7 linked regions of the Rattus norvegicus genome follow. Each later gene encodes a partner of the first gene's protein in a complex. Links are inferred from orthologs where the notes say so. Each region holds a gene or a part of one and is shown in the gene's direction. Other genes may lie near its edges. The genes, in order: Smarcb1, Dpf1, Arid2, Phf10, Actb, Pbrm1 and Dpf3.

Region 1 (3,500 bases):
CCAGGCCAGCCAGGGCTATGCAGTGAGACTCTAGGGAAAAAGATCGACAATATCGCTAACTTTTTTCTAAAAGTGAATGGAAACCATCCTTTTACCTTTGGGTGATAGTGACCCACAAACCAAACAGCAGCCAGGAGTCTTTGCTGTTCTGCGTATAGACTCTTGGTCTCAGCACTCTAGCTGTGGGTTACATAAATCTCTTCTGGAAGAAAAGTGCAGAAACTACCTTCACTTCATAAATGTACACTATGCTAGGTAGATACGATGAAAAGAATAATAGAACTGTTCCTTTCTGAAGCAGAATCCAGACTTGAGGGCCTGGTGTGGCCGTGCACACCTTTAATCCCAGGACTCAGTGGGCAGAGGCAGGCCAGCCCATCCTGAGTTCAAGGCCAGCCTTGTCTACATAGTGAGTTCCAGGCCAGCCAGGGCTGCATAGTGAGAATCTCTTAGGGGAAAAGTCAGGGTCGTTAAGCACTCGATGGGTGAACAGAGAGGCCTAGACTCACTGCCAGAGTGAACACCTCACACCCGTCTATTGGTTGTCCCCACAGTGTGACTCTGAAGATAGCATTTCTGAAGTCAGTGAGACCGTAGAGCATCTTAAAAACAGTCATAGGCCTCCGTCTAATCAGGGGCCGTGCTTACTGTATTGCTACAAACAGACTGAGGCTGTTACTGGGGAAGTAGTGATTTATAGGCTAGGCTAGGGATTACTAATACAGTACTTTTTTTAGACTCTAGAAAATTCTTTGGCATCTCTGTTTTGAGTTTTATTACTAAACAAAGCAACATAGGCAACAGGACAAATTATCTCACATCTGTCTAAAATTAAAAACTTTTTGGTGTTTATTGCCTTGTAAAAATATCAAAGTCGCTTCTTAAGATGAAAGAAGGTCACAGGAGTCTTAGATTTCAGAAAAGTGCCAACATCTCTAGTCAGGTCAAAATCATAAGCTTCTTACTAAGCTCTGGGATCAGGAGACACAGATGCCAGCCAGATGTGCACTGCTGTTGAACCCTTGATGTCAGCAGAATGTGTTTGCTGACTCCTGAAAGCCCGGCGTCTGGAGGCATTGTCTCGGCATGGTGGTAGGTAGCCCGACCCTCATAATGAGCCTTCTTGCTTTACCCATAGGTGGGAAACTACCTGCGTATGTTCCGAGGTTCTCTGTACAAGAGATACCCCTCACTCTGGCGGCGACTAGCCACTGTGGAAGAAAGGAAGAAAATAGTGGCATCGTCACATGGTAAAAAAACAAAACCTAACACTAAGGGTGCGTCTTCACGAGGGTTTGTAAACCTGTTTCAAAACCACTCGCTTATGTCACGGAGATAAAACGTTTTCACTCCAGTGTCTTCATTGCAGCCTGACCTCAGTTCGGTAGGGAGCATCCCGGGGCGGGCCACCCTGCCAGTGCACACGGGCCTCAGGAGAGAGTGGCTCATACTCCCCTGTTGTGTGTTCCTGGCTGGGCCAGCGGGTCTGTGAGGGGCTGGGCCAGGGCAGTAGCAGGTGCTGTGAAGACATGTTGGTCTCAAAACGTTTTAGGAATGCTGAGATTTGCTACCATTTGCTGAGTGTGTCGCTGTAGTCATCCTTGCGGCCGTAGACGGTGGCCCCAGCCCTCTCTCCTCTGGGGCTGTCACCGCTTCCCTCCCACAGCACATCTGTCTGTACTACTTCATGTTGACAACCGGCGTGCTGAGCTCACGTGCATGTACCCATTCCGTGGCCCGCCCTGTGCCTGGGGCTTGCCAGGTGAGCCATCTGATGCCAGCAAACCTAGGGCAAGCTCTGGGCTGTGGCAGCTCTTCAGCATGACACATGCTCTTCGTAGTCTTGGCGCCTCTAGATTATGGGCTTGGGTGTGGCTGCAGCATGCCATCTGGCAGGTGGCAAAACTGCTCTCCACTCAGCAGAGGCACCCTGTAGAGAGCTGCCCTGGGCCTGGGTGCATGTGTGCGTGCATGCAAGCATGCGTGCTCCCCAGCACTCTGTCGTCTGTCTCGTCTGTAGGTGCTGATGTAGTTTTGTCTGTTGTGGTAAATTGGGGTTCTTTTACTGCAGGAGCCAGAGCTGCTTTTGTTCACTACTAAAACAGACCCACTGTTGCCTAAAACAGTTTCGTTTGTATCCCTTGGGCCACAAGTGGAGGACGGTCACTAGCATGGTGCCTGCCTAGCTCTGCCTGCCCTTCCTTGAGTTCCTATGAAGTCGCACTGGTCTTTCTGCTGTGCTCCTTCCTTCCTTCCCTCCCTGTGGTTGAGAGATTCCTCCTGTGAAGCTGAGCAGGTCCTGCAGATAACTGGCAGCTCTTGACAAAGGCCCCTAGAAGAGCTGGACTCACGTTGGATGAAGTCTGTCTTGGTTTCCAGACAGCACATCTGCACTGGCTCAGGCATGGTAACTCCTGCTTGAGGCGAACACTTCTTTCCAACTCTCTGGGCTCTTGTTTTAAAAGAAAAGTCGTCATCTTTCATCTGTCTCGTCCTTGCTTTGTGTTTAGATTGTGGCAGTGTCAGACCTCTTCCCACTGGGGTGTTGTCCGGCAGCTTCCTGGCAGCCCCTGAGCTGCAGCTGCCCCGGACATCTCTGCCTCCGAGCCAATGCTCTTAGGAGGTGAATTCCTCAAATCCATCCTGCCGAGGCTTCCTCCTCTCTAATGTCTAGGCCAAGCCTCAGGCTGCTCGCCCTTTTGGAAGAGGCTGGCACTCAGCAGTAGAGTTTGACACCTCGCTTCCCGCCTCCTGCATGTGAGGACCTCATGTGCTGTATCGATGGTTGGCAGCCATCACACTGCAGCAGTGTGACCGCACTGGGGCTTCTCTGCTTACAGACCATGGATACACCACCCTGGCCACCAGCGTGACGCTACTGAAAGCCTCAGAGGTGGAAGAGATTCTGGACGGCAATGACGAGAAGTACAAGGCTGTGTCCATCAGCACAGAGCCCCCAACCTACCTCAGGTACGTCTTCTAATCCTAGTGTGCTCCGGGGACATGCGCGGGCAGGCGGGCGTTCCCACCCTCAAGAGCAGGCTAAAGTGAGCTGAACTGAGCTGAGCTGAACTGCCCTTCAACCCTTTCCTCGCTGAGTTCATAATTGCCTGACCTGGGCTTCTAAGTTTCTTCTGTATCTTTGGAATTCTGAAGAAACGGGCCAAGACTTGGGTTCTGAAATGTAATATTCCAAAATTGGGATTCATTTATCAAAAAAAACCAATGGTGACTTAGATAAATTCCCAAAAGAAACAATAGATTTAAATGTATGTATGTAGGTATGTATGTATATAGTGTATAGTGTATGAATGTGTATGTATGTATGTATGTATGTAGTGTATAGTGTATGAATGTGTATGTATGTAGTGTATAGTATATGAATGTGTATGTATGTATGTATGTAGTGTATAGTGTATGAATGTGTATGTATGTATGGATATGTGTATATGTGGAACTTTAAAAGAACTTTTTTGAGAAGCATCTCATGTAGCCCAGGC
Region 2 (3,500 bases), on another chromosome or scaffold:
AGATCGGAGGCGGGAGGAGGACATCTCAGAATCTGAATTTAGGGAGTGGGAGGCAGGCGAGTAAGGGGCTGTCCCTAGCCTGTCCTAGGGGCTGCCTCTGCTGCAGGGGTTTGTGACAGACTGAGCAGGCTTGCTGGCACAGTGGGAACCAACAGTACAAGGTGCCCTGGCTTTGTGCTTTCCCGGCAAGGAGAGTAGAGAGAAGCTAGGGAGGCATTGTGGGTAGGGGACGGAGGTGTGGGAGCAATTGCACCACCTGGGTGCTGTGAATAGCAGGATTGTGTGCTGTAGAACTGTGGTTAATACAGTGTGGTTTTCCATGGAGGCCTCCTGGGTAGTAAGGCTGGTCACTTGAGCAGCGTGGATGATGGACTGTGGCTGTGATGTGCTGTGGGCAGAGTGCTGTGGCTACTGGCGTCTGGCTCTGAGAGATGTAGTTGTAACCGTTGGGTGCTGTGGGCAGTGGCTACAGGTGCCTTCGCGCCGTGGGAGAATGGCTGAGCCGATTCACACCGCGAGTGTTGTCAGAGGAAGTTCGTTTGCTGGTGCCTGGTGCGGGATGGCCTTTGGTTTTCAGAGAAGCAAGGTGTGGGGACCCTGTTGTGGAACTCAGTTGCCATAGCATCCTGGTTGGCAGAGGTCGGCTGCCACGTTGCTGTGGTTAACAGGAGGGCTGGACGCTCTGCTGTGGGTATTGGAATGTGGCTGCCTAGCGCAATACTTAACAGACTGTGGTGGCCGCGGTGTTGTGGGTGGTAGAACGTGGTTGCCACAGCACTGTGGGTAATGGAATGTGGTTGCCATGGTGTTCTGGGGAGCAGAGTGTGGTTGTCATGGTGGCTGAGTAGGAGACTGTGGTGGCCAACACACGGCTGCTTGCCCGACAGTCGAGCTTCCGGATGTTGGTCTCAGGGTTAGGGTCCCACTGCAGAGCTCACCTTGACCTCTGGGTCGGGGCTGAGGATAGAGCCATTACCTCCCCACGTGTCAGTAGCCACCAGAGGTACAACGACTCCGCTAACGGCCTCCCTGCCCCTCAACCCCCAGGACATCCCTCGTGTTTACAGTTCACGGTGAACATGACCGCAGCCGTGCGGACCTACCGCTGGCAGTGTATCGAATGCAAGTCCTGCAGCCTGTGTGGCACCTCGGAGAATGACGTGAGTGCCCGCCCCACCTCCCGGGCACATCCCCAGCTTCCCTTCCGGCCTGGCTCTGCCACCTTTGCTCGTGAAGCCTAAAGCCTTCCTTGTTCATAACCCCTGGGTGACCAGCATTAGCATGCATTACGGTCACCATCGTCCCTAGTGTTCCTTTGTCATATTCTTCCCCTTGATGCCTCCCAGCCTCCCTTGAGGCTGGTGCTCTGGTTCCCACTACACAGAGACGATACTGAGCTCAGAGAGGGAGAATGACGCCTGAGGTCGCCAAGCTCAGAAGGTCGTAGGGCCAGCATTCGAACCTATATATTGGTCCCAAGTTGGTCTCTGGCTAGTTGAACATCGTTCAGCGTTCTGTAGCTACAGAATCCAGACCACACTGTGTGAGCCGCGACAAGGCCAGTTAGTTTTCTCATAAGGGCCCCTGGGACCCAGCCCCTGCCCCAGCCCCCCACCCCGGTTTCTGGTGCCCGTGCCCCCAGGGTGCCAGCTGGGCGGGTCTCACCCCCCAGGACCAGCTGCTGTTCTGTGACGACTGCGATCGGGGTTACCACATGTACTGCCTGAGCCCTCCCATGGCGGAGCCCCCGGAAGGTGAGGGAAGAGATGGGTGAGACACGGGGTGGGTGGGTTGGAACATTGTCTTCTTGGTGGCAGAGACCATGTGCTCTGGGTGGGGACAGGTGGGGGGGGCGCTCTTCATCGGCTTGAGTCTAATTTTGTCTCACTGGCTTCCCCCGCAGGGAGCTGGAGTTGCCACCTCTGTCTCCGGCACTTGAAAGAAAAGGCCTCCGCTTACATCACCCTGACTTAGACCTGGCTCTGCTTCTCCAGGACCTTTGGGTGGTGCTATCCTCGGCCTCTTGGAGCTCCTGACTTTTCCCGCCTGGTGTCCCCAGTGGAAGGGATAGGGTGAAGCCCAGAGAGGGGCCAAGGCGGTCTCCCTCTGCAAGTGGAATGTTACCCTGAGGGAGGGTGGGTCCAGCAGGGTCCCTCCTGTCCCCCATCTTCATTCCTTGACAAGTGGGCACCAGGCTTCTGCTCCCCTCAAAGCCATACCCCGCCTCTGGGCGGGCATAGAGGGGTAGTGGATGCCAGCCAGTGGCACGGAAAAAGCCTTTTTCTAAAGAAAAAGACAAAACGTGAAAAAAAAAAAAGGAAAAAAAAAAAGAAATTAATATATACAAAGATTCCTCTAAGCCTGGCTGGGTGGGGGGCCACTGAGTGTCTGCTGGGACCTGACTTTACCAGTTTCCTGAATGGCCCCTCCCCACCCCATTTCTGGAGTTGCAATTGTCTCAACTCCCATCTGAGGTGGGTACCACACCTTCCTCACAGCCAGGCCAGGTGGGCATGGTGCCCACACACTGCCCCCTCCCGGTACCCACCGTGGATACTGCATGATGTGAACCATGGTTTTGAACTCTTCCTGCCCCTCCTTTGAGAGCCCCGCCCTGCGCCCACCCGGTGCCTGCCAGACCTGGGGCTTGCAGCTGGGGGAGGCCGGTGGGGTGAGGCAGGCAGGCAGGCAGCCAGCCCGCTGCAATGAGAAGAAGCACAGATTGCAATGGACTCAGTTGTTTTTTGTTTTTTGTTTTTGTTTTTGTTTTTTTTTCTTTCTTTCTCCCTTCTCAACCCTTTCCTTCCCTACCCAGCCAGGCTGGGCTGCCTCCTTCCCCCCATCGCTAGCCATTTTGGGGGTGGCAAGGAGGTGTGGTCGTTTCTCGTGGTTGTGTGTGTTTGTTGTTCGGGTTTTAAAAAAGGGAAATTGAGACTGCAAGTGGGGGGAGGTGGAGGGTCTGGGGGAGTCTGCCCCCCAACCCAGGAGTACCCCCCTTGCCACCAAGTCTCCTTTATTGCCTGCCTCTGCTGTGAATTAACTTGTTCTGTGTATTAAACTGGGCCGGACCCCTCTGCCCACAACTGCTTCCATCTCTAACCTCTCTTGGGGTGTCACCAACATGGGAAGTCAAGGGGCCTCACTGGGGTAGAAGCCACTGTGGCTGGCCCCCACCTCTTTGCCCCTACACCATGCCTCCCTCTGGCTTTGTCCCAGCTCCTCCCTGTCTTGCTGGAGAGAAGAGGGGGATGGGGTGGAGGGGCTCCCACCCAGCCAGCTGTGGTTGCCATAGCAACGGGCTGCTGCAGCTGCAGCGGGAGGCAGCTCAAAGAGGGAGGTGGGAGTGAAGACTTGGGGGGAAGGGAGGGCTGGAGAGACCAGAAGGCAGCCCCCTCCCAGGCTAGGGTTCGGAGATTGCACCTCAGCCGGGTTGGCTGTCACTTGGGATTCCCTGTCCTGGGTGTGGCTAAAAGTGGAGGACAGGAGGACGTCTCAAAACA
Region 3 (4,166 bases), on another chromosome or scaffold:
TGGGAATCCTAATACACCAAAGGGGAAGCATGATGCTCAACCTTTGTAAACCGGGGAGGGTTCCAACACCCGGTCGATACAAATTTAAGTGGTGCTTTTATTCTAGAATAAAAATTTTTATTTCCCTATTTACACATTTAAAAAAAAAGAATCAACACAGAAAACTGAAGGGGTGAAAACATTTTGCCCTCTTTCAGATACGAGTGCAAAAAAAAAAAAAAACCCTCCATAAGCAATGTTATTCTCAAAGTTGGGAGGTTATTTCCCCAACAGGCGCGATGACCGTTTGCATACCTCCTGTTGGGTGCACCAAACCGACCAAAAACGGGAGGACGACTTAAAAGCCTTACTCTATCTCCACTAAAGTAGGGCAGGCAGTTCCCAGCCTATTTGATCCCACAGTTTGTCAAAGTGAGTTTACGGCCCCATCATGGACCATGTGCTCATCGGGCTTCCTTCAAGCATGAAGCCCAGAGGCCGACGCCTCCTGCTAGAAACGTCTCCAGAGGGGGCGAGCGGACTTCTCCGCGACCGCCCGGGCTGCGCCGCCGTGCGAGCCTCCGTGTGGCGGGAGGCCCGGCGGGCGTCCGCCGGGGGACGCGAACATCGCCTCCACCCCTAACCCCGGAACAACCGGTAGTGGCCGTTTCCCCGCGCCGCCCCCCTTTCCGCCCGCTTTGTGTGCGTGTGAAATGTGCTGCACATTGCAGATGAACCCTAAGCCGGGCGAGCCGAGTCTATTGTTCCCCGCGAGGAGCCGCCGCGACCGTGTGGAGCCAGGCGCAGTGCCGCGGCCGGCCCTCGGGGGGCGCTGTGCGGCGCTGGCGGCCCGGCCGTGGCGGCGGCTGAGAAGCAAGGCTGGCGGGCAGGCAGGCCGGCGGGCGGGCGGCGCGCAGCGGCTCGGCTGCCGCCGGAGCCTGTGCCCGGGGACTCCCGGGCCGCCGCCGCCGCCGCCGCGCGTGAATGTGTGCGAGGGCCCCGCGGAGCCGCGGCCCGGATCCACGCTGTCACCCCGCTCTCCACAAGCCACCACACAGACCTCCCCCTCCCCACGCGGCCCCGCCTGCCCCGGCCCCGCCGCGCCGCCGCCGCCGCCGCCGCCGAAACTCCCAGGCCTGCGGCCGCCCGGGCCCCTCGCCTCCGCTCGCCCGGCCCCCGGCCGGCTCGTGCGCCCCCGGCCGCAGCACCATGTTGAATCGCGTCCCCGGGCCGAGCCGCCAGGGCCGGCGGCGCTGAGAGGCGGCCAGAGCCGGGCCGCGGGAGGCGGCGAGGCAGGGTGGGGGCCGCGTTCGCCCCGCGGCTCCGCGCCCGGCCGCCCGTCGCCTGCCCCTCTAGTTTCGCTCCCGTTTCTTTAAACTTTTTTAGAAATTCCCCTCCCTCCGGCCCTGCGCTCCCCCTGGCCTCCCGCTCCCTCCTTCCCCTCCTCCTCGCCTCCTCCCCCTCCCTCCTCCCTCCCTGCGCCGCCGCCGCCGCCGCCGCCGCCGCCGCCGCCACCGCCGGCCCATGACTGAGCCCCGCCACCGCCGGCCGAGGAATGGGCTCCGGGCGCTGGTAGGGAGCGCGGGGAGCGGGGGCCGCGTTTGAACCGCGATCTGGGTTTTCGGGAGACCTCCTTTGGCAAAATAATGGCAAACTCGACGGGGAAGGCGCCTCCGGACGAGCGGAGGAAGGGACTGGCTTTCCTGGACGAGCTGCGGCAGTTCCACCACAGCAGAGGGTGAGAGCAGGACCGGGGGGGCAGCACCGGGGCGAGCCGGGGCGAACGGGGCCCGCGGCGGGCGCGGGGTCCCGGTGACAAGTGCGGGGCTTTCTGTCGCCCGCAGGTCGCCGTTTAAGAAGATCCCTGCGGTGGGTGGGAAGGAGCTGGATCTTCACGGGCTCTACACCAGAGTCACTACTTTAGGCGGATTCGCGAAGGTGAGTGGAAGTTTTAATTTGTATTTCCCTCTCGCTGGCCTGCTCGGAAAAGTCTGCTCCGGCCCGGGAGCCGGCGCCCGGGGCCGGGGGGGCGGTCGGCCGGGCACACGGCGTTCTCGGCGCTCGCAGCCGGTGGCACGGAGGCGGCCGGCGGCGGGGCTGTTTTCGGCCTGGTGGCTCGCGTGCGCGCGGCGGGCGCGGGGCTGGGCGGGCGGTGCGGCCCGGCGGCGGGGAGCGCCCTGCCCGGTGTCCGGCCGGCCCCGCGGGGTCTGAGCGGCGCGGCGGGGAGCGCGGGCGAGCAGAGTGCTCGCCCGCCCGCCGAGCCCCGCGCCCGCCCGCCCCGCGCCCGCCCGCGAGTCAGCGCCGCCGCCGCCGCCGCCGCCGCTGCCGCTCTAGCACAGGCGGAGACACAGAGACACACAGACTCTGAGCAGTTTTCGTGCAACTCAAAATTAGCGCGGGCAGGTTTAACATCGATAATCGGCTGCGAAATGATCCCGGCGGCCGGGGGCACAGCCTCGGCCCGCTCGCCCTGGCTTTCTACAGCTAACAAAAGAAAGCAGGACCTGTCTGCAAATAGCCATCTTAGGCTTCAAGGCTAGGCAGAAGCTGTAGGCCTCAAAGAAGGGCCTATGGAGATGGATAGATCTGGGAGAGGGATCGGAGTCGGCCCCGGCCCCGGCCCCCCCAGAGCCCGCGGACGTCGCTGTCCGGAGCAGTATTGATCCTTTTGAACTTTTTTTTTCTTTAGTGTAAACGGACCGCGTTGAGGTTTAAAAGGGGGCGACAGAGGGACTTGCGATTGGTTATTGTCCGGGCTTCAAAAACAAAACAAACCCACCAACCCCCCCAAAAACAAAACAAGTGCTGCTAAATACAGGGTTTTCTGGTGAAAACACAGTGATTCAAGCAGCCCTGGCTTGGTAACTCTTGTGGCTCGACCCCAGACACCCACTGATCCTTAGGTACCCACAGATCTCTGCAGAAGGGTCATTTAGCTTCCAAGTTAGGGTAGGTTTTTCTTGGATTGGGCACTTTCAGACAAGTGTGCCTGTGTTTTTAACAGGTTTCTGAGAAGAATCAGTGGGGAGAAATTGTTGAAGAGTTCAACTTTCCCAGAAGTTGTTCTAACGCTGCCTTTGCTTTAAAACAGTATTACTTGCGGTGAGTAGTGGCGTCTTTCCCCAGTATTTGCAAACGAGGGACTTCGGGGCAATTAAACAACAAAATCTAAGCTCTAGACAGTTTCCAATCCCTTGTTAATTTCACTCTGAGAAGCATTTGCTGTCAATAAACTGAGATGGTAGGAGTCTGAAGTTTTCCTCAGGTTAAAAATACAGTCGTTTATATTTTTCATACAAAGCCATTACAGGTGACAATCCATATCCTATCTTGTAAACATTCTTTTGTGACATTGTTATTGACTGCTGGGTAGCCACTGAGGGCCAGAAAAGAAGGTGCTTAGTGAAAGACTTGGGATACTTAAGGAAACTTTGTAACCTGTGGGAAGATTTTTTCCCCCCTTCTTTATTTGGAAACCCCTTAACCGCCTACAATTTCATGGGTTTTTATTTTATTTTATTTTTTGTTTGTTTATTTGTTTGTTTAAAGAAAACTTACTGCATGGAACTGTTACTCTGCGTTTAATGGGATATTTTTTCATAAATAATTCAATGTAGATACCTTGGCTGATCAGAATTAACTTTTTGAACTCCTTTGTTATTTATTGAACTTTTGAGCGACTTAAAATTATCCAGTATCTTTAGGAATACGGGGATGGTTTGAGACCAGGTATTATAGTTGGAATTTTCTTTCATTTCCTTATATTTTGACTGCTTACTCCAGAAAGTCAATTTCTTGTTTATACGATCCAGTTAGATAATGTATTTTGTGACTTAGTGGTTTCTTCTTAGATTTTCTCCTATACTTTCATGCTGTACTTTATTTTGAAGGAAACTTTTATTTTTCTTTGATTACCACAGTAACCTTAATTATTTAAAATGAAAATAATGATCTTAATATTTCTAATGAATGTTGGTAATGGTGACATTACAAGATAGCCTGTTTTATATTTGCAATGTAGCTTCTGCATAATTTTAGTTTCATATTGCTTTAAATGCACTAGTCACTCTGTATAGCGCTTAGGATTCTGAAATAGGAAACAGGGTAATTGCACAGGTGGACTTCCTATTGGCTGCCTTAGATTGACTTCAGACTTCTTGCTGAAGAGTTCACAGAACTTGGCAGTT
Region 4 (3,443 bases), on another chromosome or scaffold:
CCAGAATGAAACTGCATTAGGAGGATATGTGGTATGTATGTATGAGAGAGCCTGGGCTCTGCAGAACATAAACACACAGAGAAACCAGAAGGAGACATGCTCATGGGCCCAGTCATTTCAGGATGCTTATCAGGTGGATATGGATAACTTAATTTTTTCATTCACTTTTTATAATTTATTTGAATATAAAGTTGTCAGCAAGCCTTGGATTATAAAATGAATTAAATAGTCAGATACTGGGGTCTTGTTCCTTGAACAAATATAGTATGTCATACTGCCGTGGATAGCTAGGGATATGGCTTTGGATCTTTTATGTTTGAACATGGTTATGTATTTGAAGGACTTTTGCAATAACTTCCATCACTCAGGAAAAATAAGTATTTCTATAAATATAAAACTATGGATCCGTGTGGTATGAAAATATTGGAGCTGTAATGTAATCATAGTTGAGTTGGTAATTCTGTTTTTGATGACTTACATCAGAAAGTGTAGTAGTTGACTAGGATACTTGCTAATAGAAATAATTATTAGATGGGTAAATAATTTAACATGGCTTTTCTTACTCTATTTAGAAATGAAATTCTTAAAATCATCTTTATATTTTTAATTGGAAAAAAACTTTCAGCTTAAAAAATGTTTTCTGTCATTTAAAAAATTGAGACTCAACTGGGTCCTGATCCCAAGGAACCTTTGCTTTTACTTGTTTGCTACAGGACAGCTCCTCAGGCAATGTGTCTGAAGGAGACAGCCCCCCTGACAGCCAGGAGGACACCTTCCAGGGAAGACAGAAATCAAAAGACAAAATGGCCACGCCAAGAAAAGACGGCTCCAAACGTTCTGTACTGTCCAAATCAGTTCCTGGGTACAAGGTAGAAGAAAAAAGCCCCTGACTTGGCCTCTTTCCTGGCCAGCTTCTCCCTCATACCGTTAACTCTGAGCCTGAGGAGCTGAGCTTGCTGCGCTCCGCCATCCTGTCCTGTGCACCTGTCCACTGCTTTCTTTCTCTGGTGGCTTTCTTGTCACTTTTGGTCATGGTATAGCTTCTATTTCCTGTATATAAACAATTTATTACTTCATCCCTTTAAGTAATAACCAGACAAATAGGAGTTTTTAAAACATTCTTTCAAGGCAGAACCTTTTTTTGAGTGCAGGGCATAATTGTCTAGCATTCTGAATATCCGAACAGTTGGTGAAGCAGGGCTGGATTTACAACCACACGAGGTGGTATTTTTGTAGTGCCTTTCATTGACAATATCAGGCTTATTCTAAGGATTGTTGGATCCAATTGCCAAATTCTGCCAAGTTTTGGACAGAAAATAGGAAGAGCTGTTAATTACATCATTGTTTTTGTATAACCTTTGACAGATATACCATTCTGTTACAAGAACTAAAACCTAGTTTGTGGATCTGATCATTCTTGGAGTAAGGCCATAGATTATAAGAAACTCTAATTATTTTTAACATTTCTGTCTGCCTCTCCCCTTGAGAAGTTAGATGAGAGGTGAGCAGCTGTATTGGTGCAAGGAGATGTAGGAGGGTCATAGAAGGAATGGACGTAGTCTTCAGCTTTGTGACATGGACAGTGATGCTACAGCATACACTCCTGGTCTTGGCTGCCTTAGAATATCCATCTGGTCACTATATGGAGGTGTACTAAAGGAAGGCTGTGAGTAAGAGTCGCGCCGAGCGAGTTATTAAACACCTGTGTGGTAGCATTGCGACAGCGGCACATTGCAGAGAAAGAAAAGTGAAGTGAGCTGAGTCACTGTCTGTCCGCCCTACTGGAACACATTCTGACAGTGTCCGCTTAGAACATGCTTTTGTGGCATAGCCACACAATTGATGGCTCACTCAGCAAGGACTCATTCTGAGGACAGCTTCAGTAGGCTGCTGTGTGATTTTTTTTTTCTACATGTATAGCTAGCTTATTTATGCTTTTTAAACTAAAGATTTCAGTCACTGCTTAATAACTGAAACCAAAAATACTCCAAAGATTACATTTTAGAGGCAGCCGGCAGGAGCCAGTATGTGTCACTGTCTTAGAGGTGCCAGTGGGAGTGACAGTTGTCGGGCTGAGGAAGTTTAAACAAGGAGCCTGTTTTATCATGCATTATAAACAGAGAATATTGAAACAGACATATAATACAGGCTGGAACTGAAGAACTATCCATATTATCACTGATCTAGTGAGTAAATCATATAGATTAATCTTAGTTAATAGTACTCAAGGGAGCCTCATATGCAAAATAAACATTTTCTAATCTGTAAACATTTTTAGTAACTAAAAATGTTTCAGGGATTTCAAAGATAGGAACAGCCAATATATAGATATTATATATTAATGTGAACACAATTATTGAAAGTTAACCTCTGTATGGAAAGTATTAATGAGCCAAGATGTGCCTAAATATTAGGGTACTTCAAGCTGACACACACTTTAGAATATGGGAGTTAAACATAATGTATGTGATAGAATAGGATGACTGGTGCTTGCCCTCAACTTGTAGGACGGTATTGCTTAGGTTACATTAACCTGAAATTAAAGTGTAACTGTTAGGCTCAGGCCTACACATACATAATTAAAATCTATACTATGTTAGTGCTACCATGAAGTTTCAACTTATTTGCTATTTTTTCAACAAGAAAAGCATACACAAGCCTTTTATTTGAGATGCTGAAGGAAACTAAAAGGCTGTGGCAGTGTGCAAAGGTGATCAGAGGGTCTTAGTGAGGCACAGGGCGGTCCTCCTCCCTCCTTCAGTGCTGGTCTTCAGTCTGTCTGTGAGGCCCTGGATGCAGGCTGTGGCCTGTAAGAGCCTGGGTGCTGCACGAACAGTGTGCTTTTGTGTGTTGAACTGTAGCATCTCTGTAGAAAATGCCACAGTGGTCTCTCACCCGCTTCCACTGCTGCCCTCTCATCTATCACCTTTCTTTCTTTCCATCCCTCTTCCCCTCTCCCATCCTCCTATATTTTTCAACAAGATGAAGATTATTGGGTAAGAAAAAAAATTGAAGTGATTTATCAGAACATTATGTATAATTTTAAAGGTAAACCCAGAAGTTTCTTAGTGTCTCCTTTTATTATAGGCATTATGTGTACTTTAGTGATTGTAGAACTTGAATTGCTCTAGAATGTGAATTAATTTGTGTTTTATTCCTTTTGAGTTGCTTTGTAAAGAGTCTCCTATGAGGAATTCTCTTTTCAAAATTTAATATTGTGTGGTTTCTTCCCTGGCTTTAGTAAAAGATTAATTAGAGGACTTACTCTGCTAGTGTCTAACTTAAACTCTAAGTTTATCTTTTACATTAGGACAGGTTATTGAAAGTTCTGCTGCATATTATAGCAGTTAAGACTCAATCTTAGAAGTGAATTTCCTAGCATCTTTTTTTACTGATGTCCAGGACACAGTTAAAGCATGTTCTTAGGGTGCAGCAGGAATAGC
Region 5 (3,983 bases), on another chromosome or scaffold:
AGCTTTCTGTCACTCTCTCCCAGGAGTTGTGCGTCCTTCTAAGCTAAGCTGAGGGACCCGACCCTCAACTCTGATCCCCTGCTGTAGCTATCAGCCAAATGGCTAGCTTCCTGAGCAGAACTCTCCTACTTAGGTGAGGAGAGCAGGGGGTTCTTCTCTCTGGAGGATTTGGGGCTCTGGTGACCACCAGCACTTCCCTGAGTAGTTTGTCACTCCCAGAGTCCCCGTGGCCAGCAGATGAACAGTTCAGTGTACAGTTCAGCTGTGGCTGCACATAATACATAGAGGCTAGATGGTGGGCTCCAGCCCAACGATGCCTGGCAGTCACCCAGAGCCACTAGCTAACGGCCCAGGCTTAGTCTTGCCTGGGTGTGATCAGGCAGCCCTCCAAAAGTGCCGGACTCCATGAGAAGTTTTGCTTGTTCGATTGAGCACAGTTCCTTTCTAGGTCCGGGGCAGAGGATATCTGGAGGCATCTTCCTGCAACAAACACCTCCAGTCACTGGACCACCGGGGCTTGCCCTATCCTTGGGACTCTGGCCTTGAGTGGTCAAGATCCCTGAAGACCTTCCCAACCACAGCTCTGCTTCCAAGTTGTACCCCAACACACCTAGCAAATTAGAACTGCAGCAGAAGGCCCCCAGATCTGGCTTTCCTGACTATTGCTAGCAAGGGGGAGTGACTCTCTGCCCATTCAATCCAGACCCCGTGTGTCCCTCAAACAAAAGGCCACTCAAATAGGGTCCGGGCCTTCAAGCTGACCCTCGCCCACTTAGGTGATCATTATTCCCGTGACATCCACACCCAGAGGGTCCTGGGGTGGGTGGGTGACCCCCAGAATACAGGCCTAGTAACCGAGTCACTGAATGGGATAGTGTCCACAAGGGCGGGGGCTATTCTTGTCCATCTGGGCCTACGGAACCAGCACCCATCGCCAAACTCTTCATCCTCTTCCTCAATCTCGCTTTCTCTCTCGCTCGCTTTTTTTTCTTCTTTTTTTTTTTTTTTTTTTTTTTTTGCAAAAGGAGGGGAGAGGGGGTAAAAAAATGCTGCACTGTGCGGCGAGGCCGGTGAGTGAGCGACGCGGAGCCAATCAGCGCCCGCCGTTCCGAAAGTTGCCTTTTATGGCTCGAGTGGCCGCTGTGGCGTCCTATAAAACCCGGCGGCGCAACGCGCAGCCACTGTCGAGTCCGCGTCCACCCGCGAGTACAACCTTCTTGCAGCTCCTCCGTCGCCGGTCCACACCCGCCACCAGGTAAGCAGGGACGTCGGGCCCAGCGGGCCCCAACTTTACCTTGGCCACTACCTCGCTGCAGGATCGTGAGGAACACTCAGAAGGGACACCGTAGAGGGGTGGAGCGTGGTACCGGGCCGCGGAGCGGACACTGGCAAAGCTTAACTTTCCGCCTAGGGTGTAGAGTGTTTGCAGTCGTATTCCCGCGGTGTAGACACTCGTGGGCACGCTCCTGCTTGGTGCGCGGGGCTTGGGGACACACTAGAGTCGCGGTGTGGGCATTTGGAGAGCCGGTGCGGCTTGCGGGTGTTAAGCCGCATCTGTCCACCTTGAGGGGACACAGTATTGGGAGTCAGGCGTTACAATCACGCTTTGATGGCCTATGGGTCTTTGTCCAAACCGGTTTTGCCCATTCGGCTTGGCGGGCGCGGCGGGGCCGGCTCGGCCGGGTGGGGGCTGGGATGCCATTGCGCGTGCGCGCTCTATCACTGGGCATTGGGGCGCGTGCGCGCTGGGGAGGGAACTCTTCCTCTCCCCCTCTTCCGAGTTAAGAGTTGCGCGTGCGTATTGAGACTAGGAGCGCGGCCGCCCCGGGTTGGGCGAGGGCGGGGCCGTTGCCCGGAAGGGGCGGGGTCGTAGCGGCTAGGGCGCCTGCTCGCGCTTCCTGCTGGGTGTGGTCGCCTCCCGCGCGCGCACTAGCCGCCCGTCGCCTCAGTGTAGGCGGGGCCTGTGCCCGTTTGGGGAGGGGGCGGAGGCCTGGCTTCCTGCCGTGGGTCCGCCTCCGGGCCAGCGTTTGCCTTTTATGGTAATAATGCGGCTGTCCTGCGCTTCCTTTGTCCCCTGAGCTTGGGCGCGCGCCCCCTGGCGGCTCGAGGCCGCGGCTTGCCGGAAGTGGGCAGGGCGGCAGCGGCTGCTCTTGGCGGCTCCGCGGTGACCATAGCCCTCTTTTGTGCCTTGATAGTTCGCCATGGATGACGATATCGCTGCGCTCGTCGTCGACAACGGCTCCGGCATGTGCAAGGCCGGCTTCGCGGGCGACGATGCTCCCCGGGCCGTCTTCCCCTCCATCGTGGGCCGCCCTAGGCACCAGGTAAGTGACCCTTTACTTTGGGAGTGGCAGCCCTAGGGTTTTCTTGGGGGTCGATGCCAGTGCTGAGAACGTTGTTCTCCTCCGCAGGGTGTGATGGTGGGTATGGGTCAGAAGGACTCCTACGTGGGCGACGAGGCCCAGAGCAAGAGAGGCATCCTGACCCTGAAGTACCCCATTGAACACGGCATTGTCACCAACTGGGACGATATGGAGAAGATTTGGCACCACACTTTCTACAATGAGCTGCGTGTGGCCCCTGAGGAGCACCCTGTGCTGCTCACCGAGGCCCCTCTGAACCCTAAGGCCAACCGTGAAAAGATGACCCAGGTCAGTATCCTGGGTGACCCCTCCCCTCTATTGGGCCAACTTCTCAGCCACGCCCTTTCTCAATTGTCTTTCTTCTGCCATTCTCCCATAGGACTCTCTTCTATGAGCTGAGTCTCCCTTGGAACTTTGCAGTTTCTGCTCTTTCCCAGATGAGGTCTTTTTTTTCTCTCGATCGCCTTTCTGACTAGGTGTTTTAAACCCCTACAGTGCTGTGGGTGTAGGTACTAACAATGGCTCGTGTGACAAAGCTAATGAGGCTGGTGATAAATGGCCTTGGAGTGTGTATTCAGTAGATGCACAGTAGGTCTAAATGGAGCCCCTGTCCTGATACTCCCAGCACACTTAACTTAGCTGTGTTCTTGCCCTCTTTGCATGTCTCACTCAAATCTATCCTTACAGTCTCACCTGCCCTGAGTGTTTCTTGTGGCTTTAGGAGCTTGACAATACTGTATTCCTTTCTCTACAGATCATGTTTGAGACCTTCAACACCCCAGCCATGTACGTAGCCATCCAGGCTGTGTTGTCCCTGTATGCCTCTGGTCGTACCACTGGCATTGTGATGGACTCCGGAGACGGGGTCACCCACACTGTGCCCATCTATGAGGGTTACGCGCTCCCTCATGCCATCCTGCGTCTGGACCTGGCTGGCCGGGACCTGACAGACTACCTCATGAAGATCCTGACCGAGCGTGGCTACAGCTTCACCACCACAGCTGAGAGGGAAATCGTGCGTGACATTAAAGAGAAGCTGTGCTATGTTGCCCTAGACTTCGAGCAAGAGATGGCCACTGCCGCATCCTCTTCCTCCCTGGAGAAGAGCTATGAGCTGCCTGACGGTCAGGTCATCACTATCGGCAATGAGCGGTTCCGATGCCCCGAGGCTCTCTTCCAGCCTTCCTTCCTGGGTAAGTTGTAGTCTCATCCCTTCTCCATCTAAAGGTGACCAATGCTGGAGGCCACACTGTAAGTCTGATCTCTCTTGCTTTTCCTTTCAGGTATGGAATCCTGTGGCATCCATGAAACTACATTCAATTCCATCATGAAGTGTGACGTTGACATCCGTAAAGACCTCTATGCCAACACAGTGCTGTCTGGTGGCACCACCATGTACCCAGGCATTGCTGACAGGATGCAGAAGGAGATTACTGCCCTGGCTCCTAGCACCATGAAGATCAAGGTAAGCAGCCTTAGCCTGGACCCATAGTGGGGTGTGGTCAGCCCTGTAGTTGTAGCCAACTCTCTTGGCTTAAGGAACAACCCAGCATCCAGAATGCTCACAATCACTGTCTTGCTTTCTTCAGATCATTGCTCCTCCTGAGCGCAAGTACTCTG
Region 6 (3,500 bases), on another chromosome or scaffold:
AGCTTTAAGAATAGTATGTATCACGTCGGAGATTATGTCTATGTTGAACCTGCAGAGGCCAATCTACAACCACATATAGTCTGTATTGAGAGACTATGGGAAGATTCAGCTGGTAAGTTTGATTTGCACTGAAGGACAGGTGCTAGAAAGATGGCTCAGTGGCTAAGAGAACGTGCCGCTCTTGCACGTTCTCTTGCCAAGGACCTGGCTGCAGTTCTCAGTCCCTACGTCATGGCTCACGACCACCCCTAACTCTAGTTCCAGGCGCTCTGATGCCCTCACATGGCACACACATGATACACATACGTGCAGGCGTTTTTTGTTTTTTAAAGAATTACTTATTTTATATGAGTACACTGTCACATAGGATCCCATTACAGATGGCTGTGAGCCACCGTGTGGTTGCTGGGAATTGAACTCAGGACCTCTGGAAGAGCAGTCAGTGCTCTTAACCACTGAGCCATCTCTCCAGCCCCACATGTACATTTGTTTAAATTCTTTTTCCTTGATCATCAAGAAGAAAATTTTTTAACTCCTATTTAAGCCTTTCAACAATAATTACATCAATAAATTTAATGTTCAATGTGTCAATAAATATAATTAACCACCTAACCATATGCAAACGTGGGATCTTGCAGTTTTGGGCACTGTCACGATTGAGTCAGAAATGTAACTTCTTAATGGGTGGGAAGAGTCACTTATGCAGTAATTTATTCTGTAATTTACTTAGAGCCAAGCTCTGTGTAGGATGGCAGAGATCAGAAGAGCAAGACTCGTGTTCTTTTCTAGCAGATTTTCTCCAGTGAATGTCACAAATGTGTAACTGAGCTTAGAATTTATTGCCAGAAGCCTTCCTTTAGAAATGCCTGTAAGCTGGTTTGGCGGCATATGCCTGCCATCCCAAAACTCAAGACGGTGAGGCAGGAGAATGAGCTTGAGGCCAGTCTAGGCTACAGTGAACCTGTCTCAACAGAAATCTAAAAGAAATGTAAGAAGAAAGTTGCCTCTGAGGCGTTAAGAATGAAGCCAACAAGAAGTACGAGTGTAATGCAGGCAGTCTAGTTCTTTAAGCTGCCAGTCAGGTGAATGCTTTTGGATTCTGTCACCTTTTTGCTAAAAATGTCCTTCCCTTTCCTTGCATGCTCAGTGAAGCACAGAGCAGCCCTTCTCACCTCCTCCTCTGTTGCATGTCTCTGAAGGGTGAAATGAGGTTTTTTAGGCCTCTTTGTGCTTCTTTGTTTTAAAATATTATTTCCTCTAAAATAATTCTATTAAGAAATTTTCATCTAAAACCAGCCTTGGCATAATGGCTTGATAAAATACTTCCTAGTTTTGCAAAGAATATGTGGTTTCTGTTAATAATTTTTTTTCCTTTCTTTGTTTTTGAGGTGAAAAATGGCTATACGGCTGTTGGTTCTATCGGCCAAATGAAACATTCCATTTGGCTACACGAAAATTTCTAGAAAAAGAAGTTTTTAAGAGTGACTATTACAATAAAGTCCCTGTTAGTAAAATTCTAGGCAAATGTGTGGTCATGTTTGTCAAGGTAAGAAACTCATTGATTCAACGATATCATTCCCTGGAAATACAATTTAAAAATATAAAAATCTGTATTTACAATATTAGAAAGTACTTCAAACTCTTTATTCTGTGTCTATATATAAGAAATTAACATGAATATACTTAGAGACCATTTGCTGTGTTCAGTTTATCTATATACAAATAGTATTAACATTTTTATGTTACTGGGCTAATTTCCAAGGATGATATTTTCTGAAAGGTAATCATTACCAAATTCCAGTCTTGCTTCTAGATAATAAAATGCATTATCTGTCATATATGCATATGAGACCTGTACAGAGCTTTAAGACATTTTAACTATATGAAAGTAATATATTTTCAAAGGGCAGTTGACTAAGTAAATAAAACTTATAATTAAAGGGAACATAGCCAAGGAGATACCTACTTATCTGGCCATTTACTTTTTATTGTCGGGAAGTTTTTATAGTTCAATGTTAGATTGATTAACATTTGGGTTTTTTTATTTTTGAGTTAATTTTCAAAAAATTTACTTATTTGTATTATTCTTCCCATCCCAGGAATACTTTAAATTATGTCCAGAAACCTTCCGCGATGAGGATGTTTTTGTCTGTGAATCAAGGTATTCTGCCAAAACCAAGTCTTTTAAGAAGATTAAACTGTGGACCATGCCCATCAGTTCAGTTAGGTTCGTCCCTCGGGACGTGCCCTTGCCTGTGGTCCGAGTGGCCTCTGTATTTGCAAATGCAGACAAAGGGGATGAGGAGAAGAGTACAGACAACTCAGATGACAATCGGGCTGAAGACAGCTTTAACTTGGAAAAGGTACATGAGTAGTAGCCACCTACACAAGAATTTTAACCTTAAAATATCTATTCCAGAAAGTGAATTGATGTATTCAAATTCAAAACAAAAACAAACAAACAAAAAAGAAAAACAAGATTGAGGGTATAAAACCTTGGTCAAAGTGGAAGAACATAAGGGAAAAGAAAAAGAAGAAAAAAGTTAATTTAAAGTAGTATTTAAAAGTAAACTGAGGCTGGAGAGATGGCTCAGCAGTTAAGAGCACCTGACTGCTCTTCCAGAGGTCATGAGTTCAATTCCCAGCAACCACATGGTGGCTCACAACCATCTGTAAAGAGATCCGATGCCCTCTTCTGGTGTGTCTGAAGACAGCTACAGTGTACTTATATATAATAAATGAATAAATCTTAAAAAGTAAACTGAGGATGGAGGATAGAGAAATGTCTTAGCAGCACTGGCTGCTCTTCCAGAGGCCCCAGATTTGATCCCAGCACCCACATGGAGCTTACCTCTAATTCTAATTCCAAGGCATCTGACTTTTGCAGGCACCAGGCAGACAGTTGGTGCACATACATACATGCAGGCAAAATACTCATAAACATAACGTAAATCTAGGAGATCAGTGAGGTGGTCCAGTGAGGACCGAGTAAGTAAATTCTTTTTAACTGTTCATGTGGTTGCTATAATTAAAAACTGCATGGTGGCACATGCCTTTAATCCAGGCATCAGAGGCAGCTAGATCTGAGCTTAGGGCCAGCCTGGTCTACACTGCAAGTTCTAGGACAGCCAGGACTACCCAGAGAAACTCTGTCCCAAAAAAAAAATGCTGTTTAAACTATTTGATAGTGTGGAAACAAAAACCCTTCTTAGTTCATTGTATAAAGCCCAAGCAAACTATATTTATATTCCACACACTACAGAAGTCAACAGAAGACTGCCCTGATCTCAAGGATGAATATCAATACAAAAATCCAGGAAATGGTTTGGTCTGGTTTGGTCTGGTTTGGTTTGGTTTGGTTTGGTTTTTCAAGACAGTTTATCTGTGTAGCCTTGGCTGTCTGGACCTTACTGTATAGACCAGGCTGGCCTTGAACTCACAGAGATCTGCCTGCCTCTACCTCCTGAGTGCTGGGATCAAAAAGGTAGCTGAGGAAATGG
Region 7 (3,500 bases), on another chromosome or scaffold:
GGTCCCTGAGTTTGGACACTTGGTCCCAAGGTAGGGGTGTGTTTTGGTAGCTGTACAACCTCTGGGCAGAAAGGACTGGCCAGAGGAAATGGATTTCTGTTGGGGAAGATATTTTAATGTTGCTTCAAATGATTTAGTTATCCAATTTGCCCTCACAAATCTCTGTGGCTCCTCCCCTTTCCTGCCTCCGTGTCCCTCCCCTTCCTCGCTTCCCTGTCCATGACCCTCCCCTTCCTGCCTCCCTGTCCATGACCCTCCCCTTCCTGCCTCCATGTCCCTCCCCTTCCTGCCTCCATGCCTTTCCATCCACAAGGCTCAAGTTCACTAGCCCGGGCTTGGGTTGTATTTGGGTTTCTTTATTAGCTTTTGTCTCGGATGGCCCTGTGTTTTATATGTTGGGTATTTTCTCTCATTGTTTTATCTGCTCAATTATATCCTTGTTAAAGTTTTGTGGGTTTTTTTTTTTTTTTGCCTTGACATTATGTTTAGAGAGAAACACCATCACTTGTCCAAGAATACCAAAGATTCACAGACATAAAATTAACTGTTTAAATCAAATCACCAGCCTGCAAATCAGGATAGACTTTTATTTTTGGCTTCAACTTTGGGCATTGACTTGTTTTATCGTCGTCGTCATCGTCATCATCATTATATTAATTTTTTAGTTAAAATGTGTGTGTGTGTGTGTGTGTGTGTGTGTGTGTGTGTGTGTATCTGTGTGTTTATGCCACATACATGTGCTTGCCTGTAGAGACCAGAAGAGGACATTCAGTCCCTTGGAGCTGGAGTTACAGGTGGTTTGAGCACCTGACCTAGATGCAAGGAACCAAACTCAGGTCCTCCATAAGAGCAGTGAGTGCCCTTAATATCTGTGCCTTCTTTCTGGCCTCACTGTTATTTGTTGACAGTTTTATACACAGAACACATTCTCTAATTTCTCTTACCCACTACCACCTGTCTTATAGCTTGCTTACCCACATCAACCTTCCATATACAAGTTCCTGTCTCATAATCATGTCTCTTTGATTTGTGACCTACTGTATTTAACCACGGCTGCGTGACCATGGGTGTGGGGCTCTGCACTGAGGCCTAGTGGACTCACGTTGGTAGGCATACAATTAAAGACACAGTGACTTCCCTTTCCATCCCTCAGCAATTTCCGGTGTGGGGGGGTGTCACACCTTATTTTAAATACCACTTTTGCTTGTTTTTTGGCCAGAGAAAGCTATTTATCTTAAACTGTGGGCCTAGAAGATCTACACGTGTCCTTCCTTACACACTTCTCACAACGATGGCTGTATCTCCATGGGGCATCTCCTCTGCTCATGTAGTCTTTATCATAAATGCTTTATTCTAAATTCTCTGTCGTAATGGGAATCTGGTTGTACTTTTCAACTTATGAGAACAAAGTGTGGGGGAATGCTTAAAGAGGGGAGTCTGGCAGCTGGATATTCTCTCTAAGTCTGAAGCAGAATATTGCTACAGAATGTGCCACCTCAGGGACATCTTAGCATCTTAGGACAAGGCCGGGTCACCCTTACTGGCAGTTTGTTCTTTGGGGCCCACTTTAAAAGGATCTCTAAGTGACCTGGTAGATTTGGGACAGGAAATGGAATCTGGTAGAGATTTGGTGACAATTTGTATTTTGTCCCTTGATGGGGCTCTTGGTGTTCATTGGCATGATTGCCAGAAATGCAGTTTCTTCCTGGAGAGAGGGTAGGGGACCTCTTCCCTCTGGTTGTGTTTCTACTTCCTTTGGTTTCACTCTGTTGCTCTCTTGTCTCCTGTAGGCTTGGGGACCAGTTCTACAAGGAAGCCATTGAGCACTGTCGGAGCTACAACTCGAGGCTGTGTGCAGAGCGGAGCGTGAGGCTCCCCTTCCTGGACTCGCAGACTGGGGTGGCTCAGAACAACTGCTACATCTGGATGGAGAAGAGGCACCGAGGCCCAGGTAAGTCATTGCAACTCCCTGCATGCACAGTGGCTCCAGCTTGGAGGACGGAGTACTCTTGTGTTTGGGAGTCCACACAGCTGGGCTGGGTTGGGAGTTAGAAAAGCTATACTCACAGTGGAGAAATTTAGCTATGCATACAGTTTATCCAAGAGACCAGACAAAGACGATGCGAGGTATTTATCTCAAAGAAGTCCAATGAACGCAGCCTTCTTTTCCCATCCTTGGGTGTTGGCTAGAATCTGTAAATGTGTTCAGCTGTGGGTGAGGCTTAGTTTTGTCATCAGAACTCTGTCCCTGAGGCTCATCATCTGTGAAGTGCGGATAATCTTAGTATTTACTACATGGAGTTTATCAGGATTAAATGAAAATATCTATAAACAACTCAACATATTATATGCTCTAAAATGCTGGATATTATTGTTGTCATGACTGTGATCTAATCTTCTAGGCTTCTAAGAATAGAATAAAAACCCAATGGTGTAGGTTAGGGAGACAGCTAGCTCTAGGGACGCACTTTTCTGTGGTCATATTTATTTATGTTTAAATTTGTGTGTGTGTGTACATGTATGTGTTTAGACCTCTTCCCATGTCTGCATGGGGTACATGCATGAATCTCTGTGTGTGTATATGTATGTGTTTATACCTGTTTCCATGTAGGCATGGGGTGCATGAGTCTGTGTGTGTGTGTGTGTATGTGCACACATGTGCATGCATGTACATATACGTGTATATACCTGTTTCCATGTGTGCATGGGATGCATGTATGTGTGTGTATGCACGTGGGTATGCATACACATGTATGTGTATGTACTTGTTTCTGTGTGTGTGTGTGTGTTATACATGTGCATGCAAGTGTCTCCCTTAATTCATTGTTCTTCATCTTGTTTTTTGAGACAGGGTTTTCACTTTTACCGGGTGCTTGCTGATTCAGCTTGGCTGTCTGACCAGCGAGCCCCAGGGATCTGCCCGTTTTTCCCTCCCCAGCACTGGGATTAAAAGTGTGTCCATTTACATGGGCTCTAGGGATTGAACTAGGGTCTACGCTTCCATAGTAAGCACATTGCTGACCAAGCCATCTTTGTAAAACTTCTCCTTTAGTTTTGGTAGGGTCTCACATTTACCCCAGGCTGATCTCAAACTTTATATGGAGCCAGTGATGACCTTGAACTCCTCCTGATCCTCTCACCTCTGCCTCTTGGGCTGGGATCTGTAGGCCTATGCTGCCACTCCTGCCTCTATATGAGTATAATAAACAACTCTTTTCTGTTGTTTTGAAGAGTTTTATATTTATGTAAAACTCAGATAATGGCAAAGAAAACTCAGATTCCTCACAGCCAAGCTCCACAGCAGGCAACTGTCTCGTCGTCACCTTTCTCCCGACTCTGGATGATTTTGAAGTAGATCTGGGACAATGCATCATTTCACATATAAATACTCTGGACTTAATATGTCAAAACCATTGGGTGCCCCGGGACATGCCTGTAATTACAGTCGTTAGGAGGCTGGGACAAGAGGATTGCAAGTTTGAGGCTAGCCTGGGATACAG

The links.
Region 2: Smarcb1 (region 1) and Dpf1 share a complex: the UniProt entries of both Homo sapiens proteins name them as parts of the neuron-specific chromatin remodeling complex. The link is inferred for Rattus norvegicus from reciprocal best matches to the Homo sapiens genes SMARCB1 and DPF1.
Region 3: Smarcb1 (region 1) and Arid2 share a complex: the UniProt entries of both Homo sapiens proteins name them as parts of the SWI/SNF-B (PBAF) chromatin remodeling complex. The link is inferred for Rattus norvegicus from reciprocal best matches to the Homo sapiens genes SMARCB1 and ARID2.
Region 4: Smarcb1 (region 1) and Phf10 share a complex: the UniProt entries of both Homo sapiens proteins name them as parts of the neural progenitors-specific chromatin remodeling complex. The link is inferred for Rattus norvegicus from reciprocal best matches to the Homo sapiens genes SMARCB1 and PHF10.
Region 5: Smarcb1 (region 1) and Actb share a complex: the UniProt entries of both Homo sapiens proteins name them as parts of the BAF complex. The link is inferred for Rattus norvegicus from reciprocal best matches to the Homo sapiens genes SMARCB1 and ACTB.
Region 6: Smarcb1 (region 1) and Pbrm1 share a complex: the UniProt entries of both Homo sapiens proteins name them as parts of the SWI/SNF-B (PBAF) chromatin remodeling complex. The link is inferred for Rattus norvegicus from reciprocal best matches to the Homo sapiens genes SMARCB1 and PBRM1.
Region 7: Smarcb1 (region 1) and Dpf3 share a complex: the UniProt entries of both Homo sapiens proteins name them as parts of the BAF complex. The link is inferred for Rattus norvegicus from reciprocal best matches to the Homo sapiens genes SMARCB1 and DPF3.

Annotation. Positions count from the first base shown.
Region 1 is NC_086038.1:12,743,948-12,747,447, forward strand, and holds part of Smarcb1 (SWI/SNF-related matrix-associated actin-dependent regulator of chromatin subfamily B member 1), read left to right. Parts: intron 1-1,138; coding exon 1,139-1,250; coding exon of another isoform or gene 1,251-1,277; intron 1,278-2,840; coding exon 2,841-2,970; intron 2,971-3,500.
Region 2 is NC_086019.1:93,740,342-93,743,841, forward strand, and holds the end of Dpf1 (zinc finger protein neuro-d4), read left to right. Parts: intron 1-1,047; coding exon 1,048-1,160; intron 1,161-1,642; coding exon of another isoform or gene 1,643-1,672; coding exon 1,673-1,754; intron 1,755-1,903; coding exon 1,904-1,974; 3' UTR 1,975-3,084; downstream 3,085-3,500. UniProt on the Homo sapiens protein: May have an important role in developing neurons by participating in regulation of cell survival, possibly as a neurospecific transcription factor. Belongs to the neuron-specific chromatin remodeling complex (nBAF complex).
Region 3 is NC_086025.1:129,325,005-129,329,170, forward strand, and holds the start of Arid2 (AT-rich interactive domain-containing protein 2), read left to right. Parts: upstream 1-1,366; 5' UTR 1,367-1,625; coding exon 1,626-1,717; intron 1,718-1,823; coding exon 1,824-1,917; intron 1,918-2,983; coding exon 2,984-3,081; intron 3,082-4,166. UniProt on the Homo sapiens protein: Involved in transcriptional activation and repression of select genes by chromatin remodeling (alteration of DNA-nucleosome topology). Required for the stability of the SWI/SNF chromatin remodeling complex SWI/SNF-B (PBAF).
Region 4 is NC_086019.1:64,628,316-64,631,758, reverse strand, and holds part of Phf10 (PHD finger protein 10), read left to right. Parts: intron 1-713; coding exon 714-869; intron 870-3,443. UniProt on the Homo sapiens protein: Involved in transcription activity regulation by chromatin remodeling. Belongs to the neural progenitors-specific chromatin remodeling complex (npBAF complex) and is required for the proliferation of neural progenitors.
Region 5 is NC_086030.1:16,775,481-16,779,463, forward strand, and holds the start of Actb (actin, cytoplasmic 1), read left to right. Parts: upstream 1-1,183; 5' UTR 1,184-1,255; intron 1,256-2,195; 5' UTR 2,196-2,201; coding exon 2,202-2,324; intron 2,325-2,411; coding exon 2,412-2,651; intron 2,652-3,117; coding exon 3,118-3,556; intron 3,557-3,646; coding exon 3,647-3,828; intron 3,829-3,952; coding exon 3,953-3,983. UniProt on the Homo sapiens protein: Actin is a highly conserved protein that polymerizes to produce filaments that form cross-linked networks in the cytoplasm of cells.
Region 6 is NC_086034.1:6,285,933-6,289,432, forward strand, and holds part of Pbrm1 (polybromo 1), read left to right. Parts: coding exon 1-112; intron 113-1,388; coding exon 1,389-1,546; intron 1,547-2,099; coding exon 2,100-2,363; intron 2,364-3,500. UniProt on the Homo sapiens protein: Involved in transcriptional activation and repression of select genes by chromatin remodeling (alteration of DNA-nucleosome topology). Required for the stability of the SWI/SNF chromatin remodeling complex SWI/SNF-B (PBAF).
Region 7 is NC_086024.1:108,734,626-108,738,125, reverse strand, and holds part of Dpf3 (zinc finger protein DPF3), read left to right. Parts: intron 1-1,790; coding exon 1,791-1,951; intron 1,952-3,500. UniProt on the Homo sapiens protein: Belongs to the neuron-specific chromatin remodeling complex (nBAF complex).